2 linked regions of the Astyanax mexicanus genome follow. The protein of the gene in region 1 purifies or fractionates together with the protein of each later gene. This does not show direct contact. Links are inferred from orthologs where the notes say so. Each region holds a gene or a part of one and is shown on either strand. Other genes may lie near its edges.

Region 1 (16,214 bases):
ATAAAATGAAAGCCGATAAAATAATAAAAGTCGATATATTTATATATATATATAATGAAAGCCGATATATATATATATAATAAAAGCTGATATATATATAATGAACTCTGATATATATATAATGAAAGCCGATATATATATAATGAACTCTGATATATAAATATATATATATATATATATATATATATATATAATGAACTCTGATATATATATAATGAACTCTGACATATATATAATGAACTCTGATATATATATATATAATGAAAGCGATATATATACATAATGAAAGCGATATATATATAATGAACTCTGATATATATATAATGAAAGCGATATTTATACATAATGAAAGCGATATATATATAATGAAAGCTGATATATATATAATGAAAGCGATATATATAATGAACTCTGATATATATATATAATGAAAGCGATATATATATAATGAAAGCGATATATATATAATGAACTCTGATATATATATAATGAAAGCGATATATATATATAATGAAAGCGATATATATATATAATGAAAGCTGATATATATATATATAATGAAAGCGATATATATAATGAACTCTGATATATATATATAATGAAAGCGATATATATATAATGAAAGCGATGTATATATAATGAAAGCGATATATATATAATGAAAGCGATATATATATATAATGAAAGCGATATATATATAATGAAAGCGATATATATATAATGAAAGCGATATATATATAATGAAAGCGATATATATATAATGAACTCTGATATATATATATATATAATGAAAGCGATATATATATAATGAACTCTGATATATATGTATATAATGAAGCGATATATATATAATGAAAGCCGATATATATATATATAAATATATATATATATATATATATATATATATAATGAAAGCCGATATATATATATAATGAACTCTGATATATATATATATATATATATATATATAATGAAAGCGATATATATATAATGAAAGCCGATACATATATATACATATATATAATGAACTCTGATATATATATAATGAAAGCCGATATATATATATATATATAATGAACTCTGATATATATATATAATGAACTCTGATATATATATACAATGAACTCTGATATATATATAACGAACTCTGATATATATATAATCAACTCAGATATATATATATATAATGAACTCTGTTATATATATAATGAACTCTGATATATATATATATAATGAACTCTGATATATATATAATTAAAGCGATATATATATATATAAAATGAAAGCCGATAAAATAATAAAAGTCGATATATATATATATATATATATATATATAATGAAAGCCGATATATATATATATATATAATAAAAGCTGATATATATATAATGAAAGCCGATATATATATAATGAACTCTGATATATATATATATATATATATATATATATATATATATATATATATATATAATGAACTCTGATATAAATATAATGAACTCTGACATATATATAATGAACTCTGATATATATAAATAATGAAAGCGATATATATACATAATGAAAGCGATATATATATAATGAACTCTGATATATATATAATGAAAGCGATATTTATACATAATGAAAGCGATATATATATAATGAAAGCTGATATATATATAATGAAAGCGATATATATAATGAACTCTGATATATATATATAATGAAAGCGATATATATATAATGAAAGCGATATATATATAATGAACTCTGATATATATATAATGAAAGCGATATATATATATAATGAAAGCGATATATATATATATATATATTGAAAGCTGATATATATATATATAATGAAAGCGATATATATAATGAACTCTGATATATATATATAATGAAAGCGATATATATATAATGAAAGCGATATATATATAATGAAAGCGATATATATATAATGAAAGCGATATATATATATAATGAAAGCGATATATATATATAATGAAAGCGATATATATATAATGAAAGCGATATATATATAATGAAAGCGATATATATATAATGAAAGCGATATATATATAATGAACTCTGATATATATATATAATGAAAGCGATATATATATAATGAACTCTGATATATATAATGAAAGCGATATATATATAATGAACTCTGATATATATATAATGAAACCGATATATATATATATAATGAAAGCGATATATATATATAATGAAAGCTGATATATATATATATAATGAAAGCGATATATATAATGAACTCTGATATATATATATAATGAAAGCGATATATATATAATGAAAGCGATATATATATAATGAAAGCGATATATATATATAATGAAAGCGATATATATATAATGAAAGCGATATATATATAATGAAAGCGATATATATATAATGAAAGTGATATATATATAATGAACTCTGATATATATATATATAATGAAAGCGATATATATATAAGGAACTCTGATATATATATATAATGAAGCGATATATATATAATGAAAGCCGATATATATATATATAAATATATATATATATATATATATATATATATATATATATATAATGAAAGCCGATATATATATATAATGAACTCTGATATATATATATATATATATATAATGTCCCAAGACCAAGCGTTCCCCGACTTCCTTCGCTCTGCCTTGGAACAACAAGGAGCTGTTCTTGGGAGGCACCACAACCAACTAGACTCAATGTCCAAAACTATGGAGAACATGACAACAAGACTAGCTGACCTGGCGGCCCAGATCCAGCACCTCCACCTCTCCCGGACAGCTGCCACGGCTGAAGCTACACCTGCCACCCAAGCCGAACCGACCCCTATGACACTGTCAACCCTCCATACTCCCGAACCCCGTTTGCCCCCTCCAGAACGGTACTCAGGTGAACCTGGCAGCTGCCGCGCTTTCCTCACCCAGTGTGACTTAGTCTTTCAACTCCAGCCTATGACCTTTCCGTCTGATCCAGCCAAGGTGGCGTATATCATAACGTAACTTTCGGGGAAAGCCAAAGAGTGGGGAACATCAGTCTGGGAGACAAAGCAGCCATTCTGCATGATCTACAAAGATTTTGTGGAGGAAATGAAGAAGGTCTTTGACAGGTCGAAGTATGGGAGAGAGGCTGCCAGAGAGATGTTGGTCATCCGCCAAGGCAACAGGTCAGTTTCTGATTTTGCTATCCAGTTCCGCACCCTGGCCACCTCGAGTGGCTGGAACTCCGAGGCCCAGCACGACACCTTCCTCCATGGTCTATCAGAGGCAGTAAAAGACCAACTAATAGCCCAAGACCCCCCTAAGACTTTAGACGACCTTGTGGACCGTGCCATTCGTATTGATAATCGCCTGCGACAACGCCAAGGAGGGGGGTTCTTCACCAGGCTTCAGAGTGTACCAGGCTGCACCGTATCCACACATCGGTCTACACTAGGCCTGACCCCACCCCCACCTCCCACACCAAGCAATGTCGAGCCCATGCAGGTAGATCGTACCCGGCTGTCACCTACAGAGAGGCAAAGAAGAATTCAGTCCGGTTCCTGCCTCTATTGTGGTCAGTTGGGACATCTGGCTGCCACCTGCCCGCTAAAAGCCAACGCTCGCCAGTAAAGCGAGGAGTACTGGTGAGCGTGACTCCTGTTAACCCACCCTCTTCCATTCCTTGCAACCTGTTCCCTGCAGTTTTAGAATGGGGCCAGCAACGTCAAACCTTTCAGGTGCTTATTGACTCAGGAGCTGACGAGAGCTTCATTGATGCTTCTCTAGCCTCCAAGTTGGCCATACCCACATCTCCCCTTCAAACACCCTTACTGGCAAGGGCTCTGAATGGAGCATCTCTGGGAGAGGTCACTCACATCACCTCTCCAGTCAGTCTCACTCTGTCTGGCAACCACCGTGAGTCGATTACCCTATGCCTTGTTGATTCCCCTCAAGCCCCCCTCGTCCTGGGCACCCCCTGGCTAGCCAAGCACAACCCTCTCATTGACTGGTCTAAAAACAAAATTGTTGGTTGGAATCAGTCCTGCCATTCCCAATGCCTGCGCTCTGCTATGCTTTCAGAGTCCCCTAGCCCGGAACCCCATGAAGAGTTCCCTGACCTGTCTGAAATTCCCCTAGAATACCTGGATCTGAAGGCGGTGTTTAGCAAGTCCCGAGCCATATCCCTACCCCCGCACCGACCCTATGACTGTGCCATAGAGCTTCTACCTGGCACATTCCCCCCCAGAGGTGGTCTATATTCGCTCTCTCAGCCTGAGACTGTGGCTATGAATAAATATATATCAGAGTCCCTAGCTGCGGGTATCATTCGCCCCTCTTCCTCACCAGCAGGTGCCGGTTTCTTCTTCGTGGGCAAGAAGGATGGCTCACTTCGGCCCTGCATTGACTATCGAGGACTAAATGAAATAACTGTCCGAAATCGCTATCCCCTTCCTCTTATGTCCTCTGCCTTTGAAATGCTTCACGGTGCCACGGTGTTCAGCAAATTGGATCTCCGTAATGCCTACCACTTGGTCCGGATTAAGGAGGGAGACGAGTGGAAGACCGCTTTCAATACCCCCTCTGGCCATTATGAATATCTTGTCCTCCCATTTGGACTGACCAATGCTCCTGCCTTCTTTCAGGCTCTTGTTAACGATGTCCTCAGGGACATGCTTAATAAGTTTGTTTTTGTTTATTTGGACGACATCCTCATTTTTTCGAAGTCCTTACCAGAGCATATTGCTCATGTCCGAACAGTCCTTCAACGCCTCCTGGAGAATCGGCTCTATGTGAAGGCAGAAAAAAGTGAGTTCCATCAAGACACCATCTCCTTCCTGGGCTTTGTGGTCTCCACGGGAACCCTACAAATGGATCCTAGCAAAGTGCGGGCTGTGGTGGAGTGGCCCGAACCATCTACACGCAAGGAGCTACAGCGGTTCCTTGGTTTTGCTAATTTTTACCGCCGGTTTATCAGGAACTATAGCACCCTGGCAGCCCCCCTGACTTCTCTCACATCTTCCGCTGTGGCCTTCCACTGGTCCCCATCTGCCAATAAGGTCTTCCAAGCTTTGAAATCTTGTTTCACCTCTGCCCCCATCCTCGTACAGCCTGACCCTGACCAACAATTCATTGTGGAGGTAGATGCCTCAGATGTGGATGTGGGGGCTGTCCTCTCCCAGCGCTCTACTAAGGATCAGAAGGTACATCCATGTGCCTTTTACTCCCACCGGCTCTCCCCCAGTGAACGCAACTATGACATCGGTGACCGAGAGCTCCTGGCGGTGAAATTGGCCTTGGAGGAGTGGAGGCATTGGTTGGAGGGGAGCACATTGCCATTCCTGGTCTGGACTGACCATAAAAATCTGGAATATCTGCGCTCTGCCAAACGCCTGAATCCCCGTCAAGCCCGCTGGTCCCTCTTCTTCTCCAGATTTAATTTTACCCTCTCCTATCGCCCTGGGTCGAAGAATGGAAAACCTGATGCCCTTTCCCGTTCATTCAGCAGTTCGGACAGTACCCCTTCCCCCACCACTATTCTCCCTGAACGCTGCCTTGTCGGCGCCGCCATTATGGACATTGAGTCACTGGTACAGAATGCTCAAGACTCTGAATCCACCCCCAGTCAGTGTCCGTCTAATTGTTTGTTTGTCCCAGTTTCTGTCCGTCCACAGGTGCTGCAATGGGGTCACTCCTCCCACCTGTCCTGCCACCCTGGAACCAGACGAACCCAGTCCTTTATCAAGAGACGGTTCTGGTGGCCGTCCATGGGGAGAGAGGTCCGCCGATTCGTCTCTGCCTGTCCAGTCTGCGCCCAGAACAAGAGGCCTACTTAACCTCCATCAGGTCTATTACAGCCTTTATCTATACCCAAGAGACCCTGGTCCCACATTGCCCTTGATTTCATTACCGGCCTGCCCGAATCTAACGGCAACACTACCATTTTAACTGTGGTTGACCGGTTTTCTAAATCTGTTCATTTTATCCCTTTGCCCAAACTACCATCTGCTAGAGAGACCGCTAATTTGCTGATAAATCATGTTTTTAGACTGCATGGGCTCCCCGTAGAGGTGGTCTCGGACAGGGGTCCACAGTTTACATCTAGGTTCTGGCAAGCCTTTTGTAAGATGCTTGGTGCTTCAGTCTCTCTCTCTTCTGGTTTTCACCCGCAGTCTAATGGCCAGACGGAGAGGGCGAACCAGCTTCTGGAGACGGTTCTACGCTGCCTGGCCTCCCAGAACCCCTCCACCTGGAGTCAGCAGTTGCCCTGGGCCGAGTACTCTATCAACTCGCTCACCTCCTCTTCGTCTGGTCTGTCACCCTTTGAATGCTGCCTGGGTTACCAACCGCCCCTGTTCCCCGACCAAGAAGTGGAGGTTGGGGTTCCCTCTGCCCAAGCCTTCGTTCGTCGCTGCCGTCGGACATGGCGCCAAGCATGCTCTGCTCTCCGACGTGCCTCGGCCAGGATCAAGAAACAGGCGGACAGGCATCGCACCATGGCCCCTCGTTACCAGGTGGGCCAGCGTGTTTGGTTGTCCACCCAGGACCTTCCACTTAAGGTGGACTCCCGCAAGCTGGCACCCCGCTTCATCGGCCCCTTCCCGATTTGTAAACTTATCAACCGGTCTGCTGTTAGGCTGAAGTTGCCCCTCATCCTTCGCCGCATCCACCCCACTTTCCACGTCTCCCGCATCAAGCCATTCATTTGTAGTCCCATGCACCCTGCCCCTGTACCCCCTCCTCCCCCCCGACTCATTGATGGCTCTGATGCCTATACAGTGCGTCGGCTGCTGCAGGCCCGTCGACGGGGCCGTGGCTGGCAGTATCTTGTTGACTGGGAGGGTTACGGCCCGGAGGAGAGGAGCTGGGTCCCTGCGCGCCAGATCCTCGATCCCTCTCTCATCAGGGACTTTCACCGTCGGCATCTTGCCCAATCCACTGTTACGCCGGGAGGCGTTCGTTGATGGGGGGGGTACTGTAAGGGTTCTATCTGCGGGCCCCTTTGTCTCCATCTGGTGGACATTTGTGGGTATTGACCTGCCTTTTTGATCTGAACTCTGAACCTTGATTGTCTGTGATGCCATCCACCTGTGACTGTTTGACCTTGTTGTTTCCTTGCCTCTCATTGGTTCTTTCCCCCCCTCCTGCCTTATTTAAACCCTGGATTTTGGGTAATCTGCCTCGGATTGCCGTGCCGTGCCCTGTCAACGTTTTGTGAGTTATTCCTGTCTTTATCCTTCGTGCTGTTCTGTTGTGTTTTTTTCTCTCTGAAAGGATTTAAGTGGGATTTTTGTGAACCTGTTTTTTGTTTGGACAATTGATGGACTGTTTTTGTGGGTTTTTGTTGGACACTCGATTAAGTGGGATTTTTGGGAATCTGTTTTTGTTTGGACAATTGATGGACTGTTTTTGTGGGATTTTGTTGGACAATTGATTAAGTGGGATTTTGGGAATCTGTTTTTGTTTGGACAATTGATGGACTGTTTTTGTGGGTTGTTTTGTTAGATATTTTTTGACCTGCTTAAAGGGATATTTTTGTAGAGATTTTTGCTCCAACCTGTGGATTTTTAGTTTGGTATTTTTGGGAAAAGGTTTTTGTCCTGAGAAGAGGAAGTTTGTGTTGTATTCTTTGTTTGACCTAATAAATCAGCACTCTCCCGATTTCTCTCTGCTTTTGGGTCCAATTTCTAGAGCCCTGACATAATGAAAGCGATATATATATAATGAAAGCCGATACATATATATACATATATATAATGAACTCTGATATATATATAATGAAAGCCGATATATATATATATATAATGAACTCTGATATATATATAATGAACTCTGATATATATATACAATGAACTCTGATATATATATAACGAACTCTGATATATATATATAATCAACTCATATATATATATATATATATATATATATATATATATATATATATATATATATATATATATATATAATGAACTCTGTTATATATATAATGAACTCTGATATATATATATAATGAACTCTGATATATATATATAATTAAAGCGATATATATATATATAAAATGAAAGCCGATAAAATAATAAAAGTCGATATATATATATATATATATATAATGAAAGCCGATATATATATATATAATAAAAGCTGATATATATATAATGAAAGCCGATATATATATAATGAACTCTGATATATATATATATATATATATATATATATATATATATATATATATATATATATAATGAACTCTGATATAAATATAATGAACTCTGACATATATATAATGAACTCTGATATATATATATATATAATGAAAGCGATATATATACATAATGAAAGCGATATATATATAATGAACTCTGATATATATATAATGAAAGCGATATTTATACATAATGAAAGCGATATATATATAATGAAAGCTGATATATATATAATGAAAGCGATATATATAATGAACTCTGATATATATATATAATGAAAGCGATATATATATAATGAAAGCGATATATATATAATGAACTCTGATATATATATAATGAAAGCGATATATATATAATGAAAGCGATATATATATAATGAAAGCTGATATATATATATATAATGAAAGCGATATATATAATGAACTCTGATATATATATATATAATGAAAGCGATATATATATAATGAAAGCGATATATATAATGAAAGCCGATATATATATATATATATATATATATATATATATATATATATATATATATATATATATATATATATATATATAATGAACTCTGATATATATATATATAATGAACTCTGATATATATATATATATATATATATATATATATATAATGAACTCTGATATATATATATATATATATATATATATATATATATATATATAATGAACTCTGATATATATATATAATGAACTCTGACATATATATAATGAACTCTGATATATATAATGAAAAATATATATATAATGAACTCTGATACATGTATAATGAACTCTGATATATATATAATGAAGACCCTTTAATGTTAAGACCCTTTAAGAGGTAAACGGGTGGTCCGCACAGTCAGCCTGAGAGACTGCAGGTGGCGTTGTGGTTCAGCCGGCCGCAGCTCTTCGCGCAGGGGAGGCCGACCACCGGCAGGCAGCGAGGCTCATTCTCTCCACGGAGGTGCGGCGCGACCGGCCAAAGTGTCAGGGGGCGAAGGTGGCAAACAAGCTCCGGCCCGCGAGCTGCTTTCCCCGAGCCGGGGGCGGTCTACCAGCATACAATATATATATATATATCAGCTTTCATTACATATATATCAGAGTTCATTATCTATATATATACATATCAGCTTTCATTATATATATATATATATATATATATCAGAGTTCATTATAAATAAATATCAGAGTTCATTATATACATATCAGCTTTCATTATATATATATATATATATATATATATATATATATATATATATCAGAGTTCATTATCTATATATATATATATATATCAGCTTTCATTATATATATATATATATATATATATATATATATATATATATATATATATATATATATATATCAGCGTTTATTATATATATATCAGCTTTCATTATATATATATATCAGAGTTCATTATATATAAATCAGCTTTCATTATATATATATATATATATATATATATATATATATATATATATATATATATATATATATATATATATATATATATATATATATATACATAAATAATAATTGTATATATGTTTTTAATTTGGTAAAATCAAAGAAGCTCATCATTTTTAGGTGTTTTCTTTTGCTCTCTCCAGAGCTGTATTTCTTATTCTTTATGTAGAGAAGTTACCAGTCCTATGTGCCCTAACTAGTGCCCTAAGTAAGTGAATTGGATACGCCCAGGAGAGTCCGCCAATCAGAGCCCAGCCTGCCTCCCGTAGCCCCGTCCTGTTGGTTGTCTCGGTAACCGGGACTCAACGCCTCTCGACCAGCAGCAGCAGCGAAAACACGGAGGATCCGGTACAAATGAGAGTAAAAAGAGAACAAACCGCTTCATATAAAGTCGAATCTGAATAAAACGGATTACGGGCTTTTCTGCGGACCGGTACAGAGCGCTGGGGTAAGAGTGCAGGCTGTTATTCGCTGCGGTTTATCAGTTAGGCCCCGCTATTCGGGTAACGTTAGTAGTGTGGAGGGATTAGCTGCTGTTAGCTAGCGATGCTAATACAGCTAAATTAACTTGTTACCAAACAAACCGGTTCATTTAATACAGAATACAAACTAAACCGGATTAAACCCGCACATTTACACCATTACAGCGGGGTTTTCTGTCAGCGAGCGGGCTGTTCACTTAAATAACATTTATTTTACTAAACAGATAACTTACAGTGTATTAGCTGTAGCTATCAGTTAATGGGTTATATGGGTTTAACTTTTATAGTTAAGTGTTTTTATTATTATTACAGCTAAAGGCTTATTTAAGCAGTGCCACAGAATATACATTAACATATTTTAATAAAGAACCCTGTTTTTTCTGAATCATTTATTTATTTATTTATATTTTTACTTATTTACTTATTTTTTATTTGTACAGCTCTGAAAAAAAATAAGGGGCCATCTAAAATGATGAGTTTCTTCCTCTGGAATATAAATCAAGAGGATCAAAAATGGATGATCACAAGCCATTAAATCAAACTGAACTGCTTGAATTTTTGCACCAGGAGTAAAGCAGCATAAAGATATCCAAAAGCAGTGTGTAAGACTGGTGGAGGAGAACATGATGCCAAGATGCATAAAAACTGTGATTAAAAACCAGGGTTATTCCACCAAATATTGATTATTTCTGAACTCTTAAAACTTTATGAATATGAACTTTTTTCTTTGCATTATTTGGTCTTTGGTTATTCCTTAAGTTTTGTTATTTTGTGCATTTCTCATTTACTGTAAATAAATGCTCTAAATGACAATATTTTTAATTGGAATTTGGGGGAAATGTTGTCCATTGCTTATAGAATAAAACAAAGAAAAACAAATCAACCTTTATTTTTTTATTCTGTAATACAATGAGGGCAATCCTCATTTTCAGTGCAGCTGAGCATTTGCAACTTAAACATACTGGAAATTAAATTGAATTTAAAATAGTATTTAATCAGGTTAGAAAAACGAAACAATAAAGATTTAATGACAAAAGCGTTAGAAAAACAAGCAAACAATTATGACCTAATTAAGAAGAAATAAAATAATTTCGAATAAAAAGATAAGTGTACATGCTTAAATTTAAAGCTGAATTTAAAGTTGAAACCGTAGAAGACTAAAATATTTGAGTTATTAGTTTATAGATCAAAACATCATTTTATTAAACATTTACCTATGAATAGCAAAATCAGAGAAACTGATTCAGAAACTGAAGTGCTCTCTTCATTTTTTCTAGATTTTTTTTTTGCCAACTATTACTTTTTAGATCCCTAAATGTTTTGAAGCATTACAATTGAATTTAAATAAAAAAAGAAAAATATAATAATAATTAGAAAAATTGCTGTGGTGGGTCACTTTTATTATTATTTTTTTTTTATTATTTTATTTCATAGGCTGAGATGATTGAGATCTATATTTTGGAATTATTGTGATTTTGAGATTCTGTGTATATTTCTTGCTGCTGTTCGCTTTCTGTTTCTGCCTATCAATGTGAATGATTCTTTAACTTTATAAAATATATTTATCTTGTATTTTTATGTATTTAGTGTTGTGTTAGGGTTTTTTTTCTCAGGATGTTTGTATCCTCTGTAACTCTCAGGCTAATTAGCTGCTGGTTTGGTGATCAGGGATCTCACTGTGTTCTGTCCCCTGTGTTTATTACAGGTATGGCTGTGTATTTTGATCACCGGGTTCAGGCTCCAGACAGCAGTGGATCAGCAGCTCTCTTAGCCTGGCACTCCTCTCAGCCCCTGCTGGCAGTCGCTTCCATCAACCCTGCATCCGGAGGAAGTGTAGACATCTACCTGCAGCAGGTAAGAACAAGTGATATTGCACTTACTGGCCTCTTTATTAGAAACACCTACTAACTCCCTTCAGGGTTCGTACGGTCATGAAAACCTGGAAAAGTCATGGAATGTGAAAATAGCAATTTCCAGGCCTGGATAAGTTTAGCTCACACATTTTATTATTAAGTCTTTCTTTTAGATTAATTTTAGCCACTATAATCAATTTTACTTATAGTTTTAGTTGATGTTTAGTTTTATTGTCCATGTCTGCACTGATGTCTTAAAAATCTAAAAGTCATGAAAAAAATCATGAAAATCTTTTGGTTAAAAAGTCAATGAACCCTGTATCTTGTGCTTCTTTCACTCAAAACTCTAAAAGTCAGCTCACTGTAGTCACTAAATAATGTTTTATAAACTTATTTTAATTTCTAACCACCTTCAGACAGATTATAATTGTTTTAGTTGAGTTATTTTATTTATTTGTCTTTTTATTTATCATTTTTTTTGTTTTACTTTTTAGTGTCTTTATTTGTCTCATTCCATGTTTTTTATTTGCCTTTTACCTTTTTATTTCATTTATTTGATCCTTTTTTATTGTCTTCTATTTTACCTTTTTTTTTCTATCACTCACTTTCTTTATAATCTTATTGTTATTTTAGATACTCCATTGTTTTAGACAATTATTCATTTAATTATGCTTATTTTTTATTATTCTAATTATGTATTTATCTCTTTATTGTATTGCTTTACATTTTAGCATGTCCATTTATCCTTTTATTCTGAATTATTTTATTTCTTCTCAATTAAGTCTTATGTTGTTTGCTTGCTTGTTTTTTTATCAAATATATTTTTCAGTACAACAGTACTGTTGGAATGTCCTAAAGAAGAAAGTCATCACTGGTGTACTGACTGGTGTACTTTTTAAGTCCTTAAACCCTTTAAGTTTTAACTGCTCGGCTGCATTAAAAATGAGTGTTCCCCTCAATGTATTACCAAGTGAAGATGGATAAAAGTTGATTGATTGATTGATTGTTTATTAAAGAAACCTCTACAGTACCGTGTGGTTGTGTGTGTGTTGTAGGGGGAGCATGTGGAGTTGTGTCATGTGGAGCGTGGGTTCAGCCCGGCGCTGCTGCGGTGGCACCCCACTAAACCCCTGCTGGCGGTGGGCTGGGAGACGGGCGAGACCCTGCTCCTCACACACCCCCACGGAGAACAGACCCTCCTGCCCCAGAACACACACACCGCCTGCATCACACTGCTGGAGTGGAGCTCCAGTGGAGCCAGACTGGTGACTGGAGATGAGGTGAGCTCCATCACTTCCTGACCACGTCCTGTTTCTCTTTTTTAGAATCAGACTCTACTGTTAAAACAACTAGAGTCACTTAAAACAAGACAAATTAACTGTGTCTTAAGTTAAATTCAAAGTGTTCTGCATGTTTACTAGGGCTGGGTGTCGCTACTGATCTACAAAATCGTTCCAATTTGATTTATTTCGATTCTGAATCATGCAGCATACAGGTAATGATAACATGTACATGTAGTGTATTTTTTGCACTATAAGGCCCACTGGATTATAAGGCGCATTTTATGTAACTCTAGTAAGGAACAGGGGTGTCGCCATGTTTTCTTTCTAATACAATAAAGCTAAGCTAAGTAAACAAAATTGTAATTCTTAAGGAAAAACATTTTAGTCGAGTCAGACAAGTCAATCGATTGCTGCATGTTAATCTACACAAATTTCTCACCTGAAAACTGTTTATTTACAGTTAACTTAGATTTACAGATTTCCACTACAGCTGGAGCATTTGCATTAGCGGCTAACTGCTAACGATAATGCCTTTTGCACGTTTCGAACCACACATGGTGTACTTTTCCCGTCGTTACGATAGCAAAGACACACTGACGCTCCAAGTCAAGCTGCACGGTGCACTAATGACATGCCCTGTATCTTCATCATGATAGCAAAAAAAAAACGTAATTTTTAATTAAAGTCAAAGTAAAAAGAACAATTCAAAGAACAAGTGCAATATTTACATTATGGAGAAAAACGGTGGAAAAACAGCAAAAATGGAGATGCTCATTGTGTGTGTGTGTGTGTGTGTGTGTGTGTGTGTAGGCAGGGGTTCTAGCCTTGTGGAAGGTGGATGCTAGAGGAAGACTGCATGGGAATCATGTGACCAAACAACAATACAACAAACCCCTAACCACCTGCATCTTCAGACCCACACCTCCCACAGAGTAAGCACCGCACCTAACCATCACCTAACATCACTTTACTGTACCTCACATCACCTCACATCACCTCACATCACCTCGCGTCACCATACATCACCTAACCATCACCTAACATCACCTCATGTCACCTCACTTCACCTTAAACCCCTTAACATCACCTCACACCACCATACGTCACCTAACCTCACCTCACATTACCTCACATCACCTCACACCATCATACATCACCTAACATGACCTAAAACCCCTTAACATCACCTCACATCACCTCACATCACCTCGCATCACCTTACCTCACCTCGCATAACCTAACATCACCTTACCTCACATCACCTAACCTCACCTCACATCACCTTACCTCACATCACCTAACCTCACCTCACATCACCTTACCTCACATCACCTAACTTCACCTCACATTACCTTACCTCACATCACCTTACCTCACATCACCTAACCTCACCTCACATCACCTTACCTCACATCACCTAACTTCACCTCACATTACCTTACCTCACATCACCTCACATCACCTTACCTCACATCACCTAACTTCACCTCACATTACCTTACCTCACATCACCTCACATCACCTTACCTCACATCACCTAACTTCACCTCACATTACCTTACCTCACATCACCTCACATCACCTTACCTCACATCACCTAACTTCACCTCACATTACCTTACCTCACATCACCTCACATCACCTTACCTCACATCACCTAACTTCACCTCACATTACCTTACCTCACATCACCTCACATCACCTTACCTCACATCACCTAACTTCACCTCACATTACCTTACCTCACATCACCTAACCTCACCTCACATCACCTTACCTCACATCACCTAACCTCACCTCACATCACCTCACAGCACCATACACCATCATACATCACCTAACATCACCTAAAACCCCTTAACATCACCTCACACCACCATACACCACCATATGTCATCTAACGTCACCTAACATCACCTAAAACCCAAATATGTTTACCATTAAATTGGACTTTTGCTAATGTTCATTATTGTGCATTACATTTTTTCAATAAATAAGTGGGTATACATTGATTTTGTGTTACACACATGTAATTGTGTGTGTGTGTGTGTGTGTGTGTGTGTGTGTGTATGCAGGGATGTGGCGATGTTGGCGAAAGCAGCAGTCAGTGGTGATGAAGATGCCCTGGATAAGTTTAATTGGAGGAAGAGCAGTAAAGGGGGCGGGGTTTGGTCTCCTGGGTCACAAGAAGGACTCACTATCTACGCCAGCACAGCCGACGGTCAGACATACACTGCCTACTTAATATCAATATCAGTATCACTACTTCAGTATTCAGAATTAAGTTCGTATAATGTTCATATCCAGCTCTAATAATATTCTTTACCAGAATAATTCAATAGTACATCAATAAACGTCTATTTTTTGGTCTATTTTCATACATAAGGCGCACTGGATTATAAAGCACATTTTAAGAGACACTATAAGAAACTTCTAATTCAGCAGGTCTTGCCTCTGGTGGTGGTGGGGGGGGGGGGGGGGGGGGTAGCTAAATAAGTTAAGTAAAGCTAAGCTTAAGTAAACAAAACTGTAATAAAAAAACCTTTCTTTTAAAGTTAAAAGAGTGCTGAATGTTAATCTACACAGATTTCTTTCCTGAAAACTGTTTATTTGGGTGAGTAAATCGCTTCAGTTTATTTACAGTAAGCTTACATTCCCGAATTTCTCCAGCACTAAGGCTGGAGCATTAGCATTAGTGGCTAACCTTTTCAGCAGCGCTATCTGGGGTTAGAAGCAGGTTACACGCTAATAATACTTCTCTCTAAAAAAAGGGAAATAGCGGTTAGCGGCTAATACTAATGCTATTGTGTGTGTGTGTGTGTTATAGGGTGTGTGTACAGTGTGGATGACCGGGGGCGCAGTGTGTCCCTGCTGACTGTAGAGGGCAGAGTGCAGAAGATGTTTTATTCGGAGCGCAGA
Region 2 (16,836 bases), on another chromosome or scaffold:
CACAGGACCAAAATATATGAACAAAATTTGAGGTTCTTTCTTTCACATTCCCTCCAGCAATTACTAGATGAAGATCAGCTGATCCTCGCAGTAATATGTGGCATTCTTAAATATAGCTAGCACTAGTGGAAATCTGGAAATCTAAGCTTACACGTTTTCAGGATTGGAATCTGTGTAGATTAACATCCAGCGCTCGTTTGACTTAAAATTATTATTATTAATTTTTTTAAAGAATTACAGTTTTGTTACAGGTCTACCTGCTGATTTAGAAGGAAAACATGGCAACACCATAATCAAATGCACCTTATGTATGAAAATAGACCAGATTATTGATAGTGTGCCTTATAATCCGGTGCACTGTGTTTTCTTGTATTTTCACACTGGATCTACAAGACAAATATAGTATACAGTAACGGACCTGCATTATTCAGTAGATAAGTTAATGATGTAGCTTCACTGAAAAAATAAACCCAAAACATCTTAGCTGATCCTGTAAAATCTTGCGTTTCGTTGTCAGTAACCTGTTCCTGTAATGATCACTCACCAGAGAAGCGTATGAGTGCTTTGGCTCGAAGAGTGTTTAAACCGAGAGGCTGCAGTAACTCAGCAATCGGTTCCCATTCACTGGCTCTGGTAACTTCAGCAGATGGGTAACGCTCCAAAAACTGCCACAGTATTGGAATTGCTGCCTTTCCTACTCATACAAACAAGATAAATCACATAAAATAAAAAATCTAATTAAATCAGATTTACTGTCACATCACAGAGTACAGGTATACAGGTGAGTGAAAAACCTGTGCAAGTTCTCACAGTATGCAGATAACAACATATTTACAATATAGAGTAGAGTAAAAAAAATGAACAGAACAAACAATTTACCTAAATATACAATAACTCATTAACATTATAGACAAATGGTATTGCCCTGTGGATATAAGGTAAAATATAACTGAATATACAGATAATACAATGCTACATACATGTGCAAATATTTAGAGTATGTGTGTGGAAGTGCGAAGTTAGTCCAGTAGGTATCAGAGTAATTATGAGTAAAGTGCAGATACAGAATGAGATACTGATACTGATGAAACTGGCTCTCATCAGGACCAACCCAGGAAAGGAAGGAAAGAGTTTCCTCTGTTGCACAGTATAGGTTCATCAGCAGTTACCAGCATCAGAAACCGCAAGTTAACAGAAACCAAGATAAGAGCACCTACAGAGTATTTTGGTTTGTTTAATACTTTTAAATTACCACATGATTCCTTATGTGTTCCTTTATAGTCTGAATCACTTTACTATTCATTTACTATGTAGGGAAAAAAAAGTTGAATCAGAAGGTATACTTTTTGACTGGTACTGTATATTAATATATATTTTTATTTAGCCAATCTTACATTGATTCATTTTTTTACATTTTCTTTATTGTTAAAAGCTTAGTCTTAAGAAGAGGAAAATGTGTGATTAATTGTGATTAATCTGATTCTTTATTTGTAATGGGTTGACACCACTAATTCTTATATCTCATTTTTGTATATGTAGAGTTTTGTGAATATCTCTGTAAAACTGCATGTGGGATCATTGTGAGAAGTGTATTTCTGGCTGATATTTACCACTGGTCTTGTTGAGGAAGATGGTGGCGACTAAAAGCTTCCAGGGATCATGAAACAGGGTTTCTTGGACCAGATTGAAAGGGGAACGTGGTGGAGTCCACTTTCTTAATGCTTTGCGTCTTGGAGGACTGAGACCTCGGGAAGAGAGAGAAAGAAGGCCATAATCTTTACAGTAAAAGATTTACATATTAAAATTACAGGATTCAGGGGAACCTACCATCACTCTTTCTAGTAAAGTAAGGACTGGTTCTCCTCTTCTCTGCCAACAACTTTGTCCCTATAACAAAGAGGTGAAATAAATGCTATTGTGCAACAACATAAATCACTATGGTACAGAAGAATAATGAAGAATACTGAAGAATGAGACTGATTTATCATATTTTAAACGTGTTCACTATCTACTACTTTAGTTATGAGGATTTTATTTTGGTGCAATGTAATTAGGGTTCGGATGGGTGTATTTTATTTAGTTTGCTTTTTGAATCATAAACATTAAACACAAACAAGTCAATAATGTAATGTAATAAATACAAAAATAGAAAACATGGAAATCTGTAAATAAATTAACTTTTAAGAAATTGTTCTAATATGACATACAGTATAATATAATTATACATATAGTATAAATATAAATAATACAAATTGGATGAACCTAATGTGTAACTAACAATTATAGTCAAAGATAAAATTATGTATTTTAAAGATCAGTATCAGCCTAAGTCTATTTTCAATATAGTAAAAGAAGGGCTGCCACACCTTAAAAACATGTTCAATTTGTTTCTTAGACAGTAGGAGATTCTTTCTAGGAGTATATGCTGGTTAAATTTAGAAATACACATTTGGAAAGGAATATTGGTCTCGAGTTTCCAGGTACGAGCAACACAAATTTTAGCTGCTATCAAAAGGATTTTAGTGAACTATTTTTAAGGTCACTGTTGGTAAAATAATCCAATAGGCTGAATTTTGGAACTATTGGGAAAAAATATACCAAGAATATCAAATTTAGGGCATGATCATGTACAGTTGTACAAAAGTAACATCAACAACAACAACATCACATCCAAATTTCAATGAAAATTATGCAGCTTATCTGGAGTATAATAAAGTGGGTGTAAGAAAATTAAATTTAATTCTCTCTACATCCTGAGTTTGTGATAGACGTGTCGCCAACTCTACAAAGATTTCCCCACAAATTTGGATCTATCAAACCCAGTTGTTTTTCTCCGTTTGATTTAATATGATGATATTTTATCATATTGTGATACATTTTAAATCATTTCAGCAATATGCCTTTTTTAAACCAAAACGTCAAATTACTGTGATTGTTTTAATGTCGCTATATAATAGGTTTACTACAACAGTCTCTGTCGGTATGTTGTCAAGTACAGCACTGGCAGTGCTTTTATACTGTATATATTAATATCAGAATTACATCTTATTGACCGAAATTAAGAAACATATTTTGATATATATTTTTGCCTTATTGCCCAGGCCTATTGTCCATAGTTTTTGAGGCAGGCAGTGCTGAGGGGGAAACTCACCGCTGTTTGTGTTTCTGGCAGGCGAGTAGCTCCCCCCTGTGGCCTCGTTACTCATCTGTTCTTCTTTTACTGCATCTCTCTCCTTTCTCTCCAGCTCTTCTACATTCTCTCCTTCACTCTCTGAGGCAGGCTGTACTGTTAGTGCTGGTGCTGAAGACACGCTGGGTAACTCATCCTCCGTTTTAATATTTCTGTTTTCCGTTTCCTCTCCGAGTCCGTTTTCTTCATGCCGTTTTGTCTGGTTCCTCCTTTTCTTTTCCGTTTTGATTCTTCCATTTTCTGTCACTACTCCATCCTGCGGTTCTGGATTAGGGCTATCCACAGGTTTCTTTTTCTGTTTTAAACTTCTCTGCCTTCCTGCTTTACTTTCCTGCTGCTGAGCTGCTTCACTGTAGTGTTTGGGTGAAGTAAAGTCAAACATCTCCAGCTCTAGGTGAGAATCAGCACATTCATCTGACTGCAGGTAGTTCTGGAGCTGCGACTTGGATCGAAAGCGTCTGCCTTCAGGACTGACAGTGAAGCACATTTACGTTAAATATATCAAGATGAAAAACAGAATACTGCTTATTTTCACTTATATTATAGCATTATGACTGAGAAGAATAACATAATACAGTAAGACTGTAATTCCTGCACCTGAGTTATACAACTTGCCTTTTATGTTCGTTGCATTGTTGTTTAAATGTTGTTTAGACTAATAACAACACATTTTTGTTAAGATTTACTCTGAATAAAGGGATTTTTACAAATTATATAAAGTAAAATGTTAAGCCCTTTAAAGGTTAAAATAAAATAAAAGGTTAAATAAATAAAATAAGGTATAAAGTTTGTTTAGAGGTTGTATAAAGGTACTTGGGATTACTTTGCCCCCTTTAAGAAAGCAACCAGGGACATCACAACCCTCACACTGTTTTACTTTTAAGGGACTGAGCACTTTTACTTAAGGAACAACTTCACTTAATATTAATTAAGTGAATATTTATATTTTAATATTTAATATTTAATATTTCACTTATATTGTTTCATATTGTCTCCATACTAATGTTTACCCTGTCACTGTAAACATTCAAAATAACTGAATTAATAAAAAAAAATGAAAAAGAATATTTGATACAGAAGAAGTTCATCATAAAAATATAACTTATGCAACTCTAGCTTAACCACATTTTCATCAATTGAAGTCCACCCTGGTGTGCAGATTACCATGACAGAGTGGACACATATAACACTTTACTTACAATAAAATAAAACAATCTGATACGTTTGAAAAATAGTTAAAAGGTGTCTTAAAGCTCCACTAGGTAGGATTGAGATTTTGTGCTCGTGGGCTCGCCCTACAGTCGTAGAGTGTAATAAATGTTTTAGGCGGATTAGTTTCTCTTTCTCGTTTTCTGTCTTTCACAGACATATTCGGTCTGAACTGTTAGAACTAAAGGTCGGAAAGCAGGTCGGAGGAGCTACGGCACAGACACGAGAGCACCGCTATTCTTCCTATTCCTAGCGCTGCAGTGAGTTTCAAACTGTAATTTTACTTCTTTAAAAATATCAAAAATCAAGGAAATCCTACCTAGTGCTGCTTTAAGTCATCAAAGTAATAAAAAGCCATAAGGCGTAGAATTCTGATAATGTCCCAAAAATTTGTTTTTGTAGACATCCTTCTAATAAACACCCACCTGATGATGTAGGTGTCCACTTTTCCTGCTGTCTTCCCCCGTTTCCTCTGCCTTGTCTCTCTGGTCCAGCCAGAAGGGAGACCCTGTGTGGTCATTCTTTTAGTGCAACACACAGAATCTAGCCAAATCCAACTGAAGCAACAGAAACAAGATTTTCCACAACATTCAGATAAATCAGAATATAATGATATTATGTATTGAATAACTAACATAGACATATTGCTTTACCTGTACATTTGAGTTACAACTAATGAGCCACCAATTTCACTGCATGTTTTTTAGCATTTCTGTGCAAGGTTTCCAACCAAAGGCGTGATAAGTATCTCCATTTATTACTCAGGTAGAGGTATAGATAATAGGGTTTAAAACACTTCTGTAGAAGTTGAAGTATCAACTCAAGCTTTTTACCCTTTAAGTAAAAGTGTAAAAGTACTGGTTTCAAAACAACTTAAAGTATAAAAGTAAAAGTAATGTAAAAGTAATGTAAAAGTCACTACTTACAAAAGCTTAGGCCGTGCCTCAGAGCATACCTGTCAAGTTTTAGATTTAAAAATAAGGGATATTTTCCTCTGTACGCTTAAAGCCGTCCCACCAGCCCAACGAAGGTTCAGTATCCCTTACATTTTAAGACAGGTTTACAAAAAATCTAAAATAACCACAAGTGAACCACTTACACACTACAATCAGATTATAAGAATCTGAAATGTTGTGGACATTCCTACATATGTCATTCTTTTAATACAGCCAAATTAAAAATCGTTTTCTTTTTTTAAAAAATTAAGATTTCATGTCTTTTTTGTAATAAATGCACTCTTTTATATGATATATTTTTTATTTATTTAATGGATTTAAAATTGAACAAAGGGTGCACAAATTCTGCAAAATGACTGTTGGTGACCTAAACATAGTATCATGAGCTTTTACTAAAAGGACATGGACCAGATATGTTTCATCAGTAAATATTTGTCCTAAGGGGCCTACACAATAATTTTTAATTAATACTTCTTTCTTTTGATCACTCCACCCCTGATCAGTTCAGTTAATTTCGGTCCTCTCCAAATTTCTAGTTAAACTGAGTCACAAGCTGTAAATTAGTTTATTTTAAAAGGTTTAATCTGTGTGTTTTATTTCGGAGACGAGTATTTTAAAGCAGCTATCAGAAAAATCGCTTGTATATCCAGATCTGTTTTAACATCAGCAGCTCCAACTGCGACGGGGGGCTTCCCCACACTGACCCTCCTTTGCAAGCTGATTGGCTGTTTCTCCTGAAAGGCGGGACTTTCTCCTTGAACCGGCTCCACGATTGGTTAAGAGACACAGAGCGGTCAGTGCCATGTCTCCTCAATAATATATATTTTTTTATTTTAATATAATACGGGAAATTTACGGGAAAATACTAATACGGGAGGACGGCGGGAAAGACGAGTAAAATACGGTAGTTTCCCGGCCAAAACGGGAGACTTGACAGCTATGCCTCAGAGTACTATAGTGCACTACATCCCCCACCTCCTTCCCCAAAACACATTTTTCTAAAAGCCATAAAGACTATATGTTATATTAAAATGTTAATCTTTATACATTTGGATGCACTAGGCTCCCTGTTTTAGCTGCATATATAAAGGTGTGCAGGTGTGATGGATGGTATAAACCAATATGGTGTCGGAATGGTATATGTTTATACTTTTCTCTTCCAATCACAATCAGATTCACTCTATCCTGATGGAGAGATTTATCTTATTAGGGGTTTTACTGAAGGATGAGAAGCCGTCATAAAAACAAGCTGAAATTAAATAGGAGTAACGAAACTATTTTTAAAATGTAAGGAGCAGTACATTTAGATAATTGTTTGAAAATGTAAAAATAATTACTCTAGTAAAGTATACGTAATCAACATTAATACTTAAGTAATGTAGGTTTGCCTGGTTAACAAAGTATTTGTACTTCATTAACGTACATCCCACCTCTTTCCAACAGACATAAGCAGAGTTTTTTTATTAAATAAAATATTTTGAACTGTCATTGTTAAGTATAAAAATAGTTTTGATATTCCTCACATGACATGAGCGCCACTATGTCCCGTAGATTTCTGCCGTTTTAAACTTTTCCTAGTTTGTTTATATTTCTGTCTCACTGAAGCTTTGGTGTGTTTATAATTCTTCTTCTTGTAAAACCTGATTTCAGCACCTACCTTACTACTGCCACCTACTGTACTGTGGAGCTTCTCCGAGGACCTTTATCAGATTAAAATTTCAGAGTGAACTGGATCTTCTGTAGCTAGCTCAGCTACTTTTATAAATAAACAACCTCAAAAATAAACAATAAAAAAACAACCCTTTAAAAAACATGGTGACTCAAACATAATTTTAATGAATTAGCTGCCATTTTGCACATGCAAAAGTACAACGATAAAACAATGAATACTGTATCAAACCATTTTTTTCATTGTAGAACTCACTTTATTTAATTCAAAACAAACATTAAAAAATCAATGAAAACACTAAACAATCTGTGATTTTTCCTTTTGTACCATATCCCTATTTTATTTTTCATTACTTATAGTTAAAATGTTTCTATCTGTAAAAGTTAATAAATATATAATTTAAAAAATATGCCTATTATGCTAATAAATTTCATACAAAAATATAACAAAAATATTAGTTAGTTAGTTAGTAATTAATACATTTCCTTATTATTATTTCTTTTGATTATTCAAATACAAATAAGACAACAAATTGTTGTTTTCAAAGAAGACATACATGTATCACATATATCTAAGTGATTACGTCAATTTTAAATGATTTGATACAGTCTGTAATGTAAAGAAAGAGCAGAAAGTGGAGTACAAAAACATAAATTATCTTAAGCAGAGACCTATAGCTTGTTAGCTAGCTATGTTAGCTACAATTGTAGATAGAATTTAAGATAATAAAATTACATACAGGGTTTTTGTTTTGCAAGGTAACTACATGTCCATAAAAAAATCTGGGATTTTAACAGTGTAACTCTACATTTATGAATTAAGTCATTTATTTTCCTGAAAGTACCAAAACTTTTTTATAGCATCGAGTACAGACTGTGTACAATTTTTATCACAACATAAAAGAAAAAAAACATAGAATCATTTATATCGCCACATTGTTAAAGTATATATATATATATATATAATACATTTTAAGTTAATAATATTTTATAAGTAATCTCTCTCCAGAAACATGAAGGAATATTTTAAGTGTGCTCAGCAAATTTTCTAAACATGGGTAGCGGGTCCTCAGAACTTTTATTTTGACGGGGTGACGGCAGAGCTCCGTCCGTATTACACCGGAGACCTGTTGATATCGCCACAAAGCGAATTTTAACGAAATATTTAGCATTAAAAACAACGATGCGAGCTGTTCCCACATGGATAGATAAAGTACACGACCGGGATAAGGTTGAGCAGTGGTGAGACTCGCTGGTTTATAAACTGCTGGCTTTGTTTGTGTGAATTTTGATCAGTGGATGTGGTTAGCAACGGCGGTTACTATGTAAACCACTGGAGGGGTTTGTCAATATTAGCTTACTAGCTTATATTGGCTATGTGGCTAAGCTAACGATATCTACATAAATTTGTAAAGCGAAATATGTCGTTTGTGTAGTATTTAGCAGCCTGGCGGTGCAGCAGCAGGGTATTTTCTCTGGTTTCTGCTGTTGTTAAGTTGCAATACTGGATAAAACACAACCTAGCTTATTTAGCTTAGCTAACCAGCGTTAACAACCCTAACGGTTTAACCTAGCTTAAGCTAGCCTTTCATTTTAACTAGTTCATGTAAAAGTAACTTAGCTAGATTACCAAAGCAGTGTCGGTAACGTTAATGTTTACTGACAAACCAAAAACATATTTACGCGTCTGAATTAAGCATTTTAAACAAAGCAGGGCATAGCTGTAGGTGTATGAGAAATAATGTGTAGCTCATAGGTTTGCCACTCGTCCCGTAAAACACAGAATCGTCCTTTATTTGGCAATTAAATGTTGTTAATTAAATGTGGTTTGTTCGGTAACGTTATTTCCATAAATGTCCAAAACACATGTCTAACACACAGGTTCTGTTACAAAGTCAAATTAATGATTCATTCATTTAATATACAGCAGTATTAGCCAAAATAAGTATTATATATGGTCATATAAAGAACAAATCATACTAATGGATTAACAGTTAAATAAATAAATAAACAAATACATAAATTAACTTCATTTGAGAGAAAACCTTTATTGTAGAGCTTTCTCTGTATTTTGTATCAAAATGTTTGTATTTTTGGGGAATACAGTCTTCAGTGATTATTACATAAGTTATATTATTACAGTGGTGTAACTATGCACAAAAATATTCTACCGCATAACAAATTGTAAAATAATAATAATAATAATAAAAATAATAAATTGAAATTAAAATAAAGTGTATGTATATAAAACATACCACTGCTGCTGGCACCATGCCACACAGAAGTTGAGGAGCCATGTTTGTTTGTTGTTTATTTCTGATAGGTGGCAACTCTAGTAGTTAACTAGCTAGGTTAGCTTGCAGGCCAGTCTGTCTATTCTGTGGTTGTGTGATTCTGTAAATTTGTCATAAACTAAACTGCAACAAGCCAACATAAACTAATCTGAATAAACAAGCCAACATAAACTGATCTGAATTAAAAACGGAATCTCTTTGATGTATTGCTTTGTCTTCCTCTGTGTGGCAGCATTTATGACCTGGCGTTCAAACCAGATGGCAGTCAGCTCATAGTGGCAGCTGGAAACAGAGTGCTGGTATGTGGTGCTTCTTTTATGAAAGGATTTTTAGTTGTTTATAAATTCTAAGCTAATTTATTTAAGCTACATTGTACAAATGTCTGTAAACATCTCATCCAACTTTAAAAAAAAAAATCTAGGGTATAATTATAGAAATAAATGTGTTCTGAATCAAAAACATGCCATATAGCCCACCCTCAACTTGGTCAATATAAATAGATAAATGTTTTGTTATATTTATTAAGGTAAGTCAACAAAATCAAACAAACAAAATATTGAAAAACATGGCAAGTTATTCTGTAAGGAAAAAAAAAAAAACAGTAAAAGAAATTCTGTATATTTTGACAAAAGTACAGAAATTACAGTACCAGGGACACTGTCTAATTCAGTGTTTTTCTTTAGTTTGTTTTCTACATACTGGTTTATTTAATACTTTTTGTTTACTAAATAATTCTGCATGTCTTCTTGTATAGCTTTAATATAGTCTTCAATATTAAATTTACAATATTATTGGTGGATTTTGTTCTGAGTTTAGTTAAAATGTTAAAACATAAAACAAATCTGCTGCAGGTTTACGATACAGCTGATGGGACCCTTATCCAGCCACTTAAAGGCCATAAAGACACTGTGTACTGTGTGGCTTACGCTAAGGATGGTAAGTTTATTAATACTTAATAATACTTATTAATACTATTTTGGGCTCGGTTTCTCAAATGCTTTGTCTACTTAACTGACAGAAAAAGTATTTAGTGTGATGCTCTCTTTGACATTAGTATTGATCTGGATTTTGAGAGACATATCTCTATATATGTGCAGCGTATGATGCCACTGTCAGTATTTTTTATTCTTGATATAACTTCTCAGAACTTTTCTTCTCTTTGGTCAGGAAAGCGTTTTGCATCTGGCTCTGCAGACAAAAGCATCATTATCTGGACCTCAAAACTGGAGGGCATTCTCAAATACACGTGAGTTTGTGCTACTTTAATGTGATTTATGGTTATGGGGATTGCTATCATAACCACAATTGCTGCTTTATTTCTCACTTTACACTATTAATGGTGTTGTACTTACCACTTATAATCACCAGAGCAACACCAAAGCAACCACCTGGAATGCTTTAGGGCAACCATCTTACATCTAAAAACACCATAGAAACCACCTGGAAAACCAACACATAGCAACAACCTACCCAACTATTTTTTCTGTTTTTAGCTACAGTGCATCAGCGAGCTGGAATTCATTACAGGAAACCCTAAAACCCAGCTCGCTGGTGTCACTAAATCATTTTAAACTTTTAATATCTAACCATCCTCAGACAGCCTGTAACTTATTTAAAATTATTTTGTCTTTTTATTTATCTAATTTTATGTTTTACAAGTAAGCACTTTTATTTTATTTATTTTATTCATTTCATCCTTTTATTTGTTTTGTTACTGCCTTTACTTTTGGCCTTTTACATTTTTATTTCATGTATTTTCTTCCTTTTATTTTAATATATTTTGTACTTATTATTATTATTATTATTATTATTATTATTATTATTATTATTTATTTATTTATTTTAGTTCCATCATTTACATTTTTATAATTTTATATATATTTACATTTATATTAACTGTGTTTATATTTTATTATTCTACGTATTTATCTCTTTGTTTTATTGCTCTACATTTTAGCCTATTTGCATATCCTTTTATTTTGAATTATTTTATTGTTGTCTTAATTAAATCTTACATTGTTTGCTTGATTTTATAATTTAAATGTAAGTTTCAATCCCTTTAATTTTATGTAAGCTCGGCTACATTGAAAATGAGGGTTACCCTCAATGTATTGATTGATTGACTACAGCAATGTATTAGCAATGAGCAAGGCAATGCTTATCATGATACAGGGCTTACAATTAATTTGTGATGTATTGTAGTACTGCTGGCAAAATGATAAATTGCTAATGCAAAGTATAAAAACACACAATAATAATACATTTGAATAAAATCTTCATGAAATAAAAATTGTTTCCTTTTTATCCAATGAAAACAGCAGGATCTGAAGAGAGATTTAGCAGTAAATTTGGTTCCAAATGGAACAAATTAAAACTGTGTTTTTCGGAATCGATACAGTATTGCAAAACATAACATTGCGATATACAACAATCCACTTCACTCATATATATGAGTTTTGAGTCTTTTGACACTGTTTTGACAGTTATAATGTATAGAAATGGGAAAAAACAATGCCATATTACAGAATATGTAAATGATAACTTGTCTCTTACAGCCATAATGACTCCATCCAGTGTGTATCTTACAACCCTGTCACACACCAGCTTGCCTCTTGCTCCTCGGGGGACTTTGGTGAGTGTGTTTGCATGCTACATTTTTTAAATCACTGTTAAAATCGAATTAAACCTTTCAGTAGTTTGTAGCTTTTGGCTCAAATTTTTAGCTTTTTTTTTACTGTGATTAAGCTGATCTAAACAACAAGGTGCACTAACACCTCAACCCTTATCCACTCACAGCTCACCAGCAAGCTGATTGACCCCTTTCACTAAAGAAAGGCAGTTTATGTGGAAAGAGATGCAATGTAAAGGTGTGTCAGTTAGTACATTACCACAGTTGGATCAGGTGTGCTGTAATTAGTATAAACAGTAAAACTTGTGGGGAAGCACTTGTCCAAAACCAGGATTGAGAACCACTGAGCAGCTAATGCTTACTTTCTCTAAAATTTAACACAGGCAGCACTGCTCAAAAATAAATTGGTTTTCACCTCTTATCATACTGTAATTATCTTTTGTGAAGAAGTGTAATAATCCAAAACGGGATACTACTCGAGCTTGACTGCCAGTTTAAACAACCGCAGTAGCCGGCTGTACCTGCTAGCTTACAAAGCGTCCTGCTGTCCAGTGAAGGCTGTTCAGTGCAGTGCTGTAGCATTAGCTTTTAGAATATTAATACATAATTACAACTGTTAAATAATATCATAATTCAGAGGATTCAGTGATGTTTATGAGAAAATGTACACAGAATAAAATGTTTAGGGTGAAAAAGGGGATCATTTGAAAAGGCAATTTATTCTGCCCATTAAAAAATTCATCTTAGACACGGAACACCAAGTATAAGCATACAGAGGACTTCAGAATGACGTCCCATGACTTTTGTCACTTTTACAGTATGGTATATGCCAGTGTAAGTTAAATAAAGCATTTTTAAACTTTTCTACCTAAAGATGCCTAAAGATGTTATTTGTAATTTTTAGGCTATCCGGTACTGGTTTGGTTAATAATTGATTCTTCAAGTCATTGCAAATTAGTTCAAAAGCTCAGGTTATCAAGGAGCACGACAGAACCAAACTTTTGTTCTCAGCTACTTTTCTTTTTTTTTAATCAAAGGTCAAATATGAGAAAAATGAGAAATTAAAATATAAAAACATAAAAAAAAGAGAGAAACGAGAAGAATAAGGTAGAGGAAAAAATGAGCCCCCCCCCCCCTTTCCACACTGCATCAAACTTGAACAGATAATGTCTAATATAATATCTAATATTTTAAAATATTTTTTCCCTGTTAATGTAATGTTAATTTTTTTAGATAAACTGTTTTAAACCATTTGTCATTCGTCTGAGGCTAACTATATGTATTTCAATTGGTTTTGAAGGTCTTTGGTCTCCTGAACAGAAATCTGTTTCAAAGCATAAAGTCAGCAGCAAGATCACATGTTGTGGGTGAGTGATGACAAGTAACATCAGTGTATCACATATGACAACATGAAACACTAGGTTCTCTCTGATGTTTGTCTGTTTGTCTGTCTGTTACTTTAGCTGGACGAACGATGGCCAGTACTTGGCCCTGGGGATGATGAGTGGGGTGGTGAGCATAAGGAACAAGAACGGAGAGGAGAAGGTGAAGATTGAAAGGCCGGGGGGCTCGTCCTCCCCCATCTGGTCTATCGTCTGGAACCCCTCAAAGTAAGACTGCAGTTTAAATGTGTCACAGTTCACTTCATAAATAAATCAGGGCAAGTGAATGTTCATTAAGATACAAACATAGACAATAGGTAATGGTGATGTAAAATATATTACTGCAGAAAGAAATAAAAGTTCAAAAACTTAGAATTATATAATAGAATTTTGTCCATATAGTGTATATTAGTATCAGATGTGAGGGTAAATGCAGGAGCTTGAGCAGGAGTACCAGTGGTATATTTTACTATGTTACATTATCCACCAGGGGGAGCTATGTCACTTCAATTCGCTGGTTAACACACAGTATTTAATGGTTGTGTCCGGACTGTTTTCTCTAAATTGGAGCGGGACAGTTATGTATTGTGAAAGCTGTAGCTGTACTGATCCAGGATCAGCAAGTTAAAGGGGCTAACGCAAGTCAGTGGTTCTCACAAAAAAAACAAGCAAACAAACAAACAAACAAAAATAAATCCAGCCATCTAGAACAGTGGTTCTCAAACTGTGGTTCATGCAAAGCATTTCAGGGTGGTGCGCCAGAAAAAAAGAGCAAAAATCTAAAATGTTTTTACCTCTAATTTTCACAGCATCAGGTTTGTTGGTGTTTAGTGTTTAACCTGGTAGATCATGTCTATAAGTTTAGGTTTTACACTTTAGTTCTTTACATTTTCATAGGTCCAACAGTTGAACCCAGTAAAAGGCCACAATACACAATAACAATAGTTACTGTATTAGTATTAATAGTAAAATATGTAGACACTGTAGTCCACTATTCTCCCACACTACTGTTATTTCCCTCTGTCTCAATATTTTTCACGTCTCAGTAGGCAATACATGCATAATCAATAATCAGTCATTTGCAGGTTACGTAAGGTGTGAAGTGGGTAAGGCTCACACAGTAGCATCAGTAGGTGGTATTTAAATGTTTTGGTTTAATCATGGGTGCTACATTGCTTTAAAAGTTGGAGAACCACTGATATAGGAGATCTGACAAATGGCTTGAGAACCACTACTGTAAGATAGTTGTGGACATGGTCCCCAGCAGAACTGAAGAGTTAAATGATGGGATCATGGAGGAATTGCAGAGTTTGGCAGATGAGGATTTTCTGTACCCACTTGGAAATGCAGTGCTCAGGTAGAGCCGTCAGGGGGAGTGTGTGGAGATGGAGCTGAAGAAACCCTCGCTGACCACAATGTCATCATCGGTTCAGGTACAGGAAAGTGAGTAACAGTCAGATTCTAATAGAGCCTTCAAGAACCAACTAATTTTCCTCAGGAACTAGCTAGCTAGCTACGTGTGACATGAGTATAACTGCTGAGGTACATGTATGAATAAAATTGCACTACTTAAGTTAATTTGATAAGGTGATAAAAATGGCACTGCTAAGGTAATTTTATCACAAATATAGCACTGCTGAGGTAGCTAGGTGGCTAGCTAAATGTGTGACGAGAATAGCATGTCTGAAGTCAATTTAGGATTTGAAAAAAGTAAGCTAGTTACTGAGCTAACTTTATGACAAATTTCAGGTTTTTACAATTATTACTAAGGTAGTTAGCTACAATTATTATTAGAATGGCATTGCTAAAGTAGCTGGCTAGCTAGCTACATGTGATTTTAGTTCCCTAAAACTGCTGAGGTACATTTAATACAAGTATAGCACTGCTATGGAAGATACATGGCTAGCAAAATGTATAAATAGTATAGCACGTCTGAAATCAATTTATGACTACATTTGAACTGCTAAGGTAGAATGACATTGCTACCTATGTGACTTGCACTGCTGAAATACATTCCTTAGAATTACATGGCTAAGGTAAATGTATTGTGCTTTGTTTGGTTTCTCTGCCGGGATATTAAAAATGTTGCCATTTGGTCAAATGTTTCATTTTGTTTGTTTTCAGGCCAGATTTTTCAGTTTGTTTCTTCTCAAATTTGAAGCCTTTTTCTCACTCTGAAACTTAGCTTTACTGTAAAGCTCAGGCTTCACTGTATTTCTCTGTAATGTATCACTGTCTTTTCCCACATGAACCATCCTGTAATGACCCAGCAATTGTTCCAGACTCTTAGATAAATTGCTGCATCAACTTTAGCAGAATTTCCACCACGTTTTCATGGTTATTCCTAACCCCATCCCGTTATTAATTACTGTTACATTCCCCGGGCCAAAGTGCATGTGGGATTGAGTCTCGCTATGAGGACGAGAGTTATTAAGTAGGGAAGTGAAAAATTACATGTCGCTGTTCCATGCAGCTATATAATATTATACTATATTTCCAAATGCTTGTGGACACCACTTGTAATGAATGTATACACCTTACTGCACTGCTGACACTGCAGATGTGCAAAATAAGGGGGTAACAAAACATTGATGTGTCAAAGTATTGCAATATTGTGTTTTGCAATACTTTATTGATTCTTAAAAACACAATATTAATTTTAATTAAAAGCTTACATGCAAATAGGCCTGTCTGGAGGACATAAATGTTACAGAAATTGTTGCGAGAAATTATATTATTATATTATTATTATACTATCATTTTAGGACCATTTCATTCACTGCTAATACAGAATTATTGAGGCCATATATTGTGACATTGTGCAATTAATTGTGCATGTCATACTTATCACTGTGGGTTTATTCTATGACAATTGACAATTTTAAAATATAAGTAAAAATGCATATTGTATCGCCAGCATCTTGCCAATACACAGTTCTAGTACAAAGGCACACACAGCTTGTCTTGTCCCTGTAGAGAAGTACTGCTATTAGAATAGAACTGTCTGGAGCAGATAAACATGACAAGGCCTGTCAGGATAACAATATTTGTGGACGATATATTGTCCCAGGCAATATTGCACACCATTATTTTATTGTCTATTTATGAGCATTTAAATGCCACCGATATAAAGATAATAGAATAGCATAACATGCAATTATACCCTTTTAAAGACAACAAAATTGTAATTAATCATAGTTTGTGAAGTATAAACTGTATTGTGAACAGCTTCCCAAAAAATATCTAACAATTGCTCATTAAAATAATATTTAATTAATCACAATGAACCCGTATAAAATGTTCAATGGTTTGTGATATTGATTTGAGAACATATTGCCTAAAACTACCAGAGAAGGTATTGCTTCAACATTATAGGAGATAATCTTTATTTTCAGTATGTTCAGAAGATACATCTAAATCTTTCTTATTACTAATACTTTGTGTGACCTGAGGTTTTGAACCCTTCATAAATCTTTGAATATTATTTTGATCATTAGTCTGTATGTGT

Evidence for each region.
Region 2: the proteins of ift140 (region 1) and ift122 purify together in Homo sapiens (affinity purification with mass spectrometry; 4 studies listed by BioGRID and IntAct, counting the BioPlex papers as one, with this or other methods). This does not show direct contact. The link is inferred for Astyanax mexicanus from reciprocal best matches to the Homo sapiens genes IFT140 and IFT122.

The regions. Positions count from the first base shown.
Region 1 is NC_064413.1:55,769,454-55,785,667, forward strand, and holds the start of ift140 (intraflagellar transport protein 140 homolog), read left to right. Parts: upstream 1-9,961; 5' UTR 9,962-10,125; intron 10,126-11,864; 5' UTR 11,865-11,866; coding exon 11,867-12,013; intron 12,014-13,067; coding exon 13,068-13,292; intron 13,293-14,105; coding exon 14,106-14,227; intron 14,228-15,370; coding exon 15,371-15,516; intron 15,517-16,122; coding exon 16,123-16,214. UniProt on the Homo sapiens protein: Component of the IFT complex A (IFT-A), a complex required for retrograde ciliary transport and entry into cilia of G protein-coupled receptors (GPCRs).
Region 2 is NC_064419.1:15,106,603-15,123,438, reverse strand, and holds the start of ift122 (intraflagellar transport protein 122 homolog), read left to right. Parts: upstream 1-8,106; 5' UTR 8,107-8,206; coding exon 8,207-8,265; intron 8,266-9,549; coding exon 9,550-9,616; intron 9,617-10,168; coding exon 10,169-10,253; intron 10,254-10,484; coding exon 10,485-10,563; intron 10,564-11,872; coding exon 11,873-11,949; intron 11,950-13,246; coding exon 13,247-13,313; intron 13,314-13,409; coding exon 13,410-13,556; intron 13,557-14,678; coding exon 14,679-14,771; intron 14,772-16,836. Other genes in the region: mbd4 (methyl-CpG-binding domain protein 4), read right to left, coding at 545-694, 1,611-1,745, 1,828-1,887, 3,152-3,660, 4,825-4,956, 5,053-5,060. UniProt on the Homo sapiens protein: As a component of the IFT complex A (IFT-A), a complex required for retrograde ciliary transport and entry into cilia of G protein-coupled receptors (GPCRs), it is required in ciliogenesis and ciliary protein trafficking.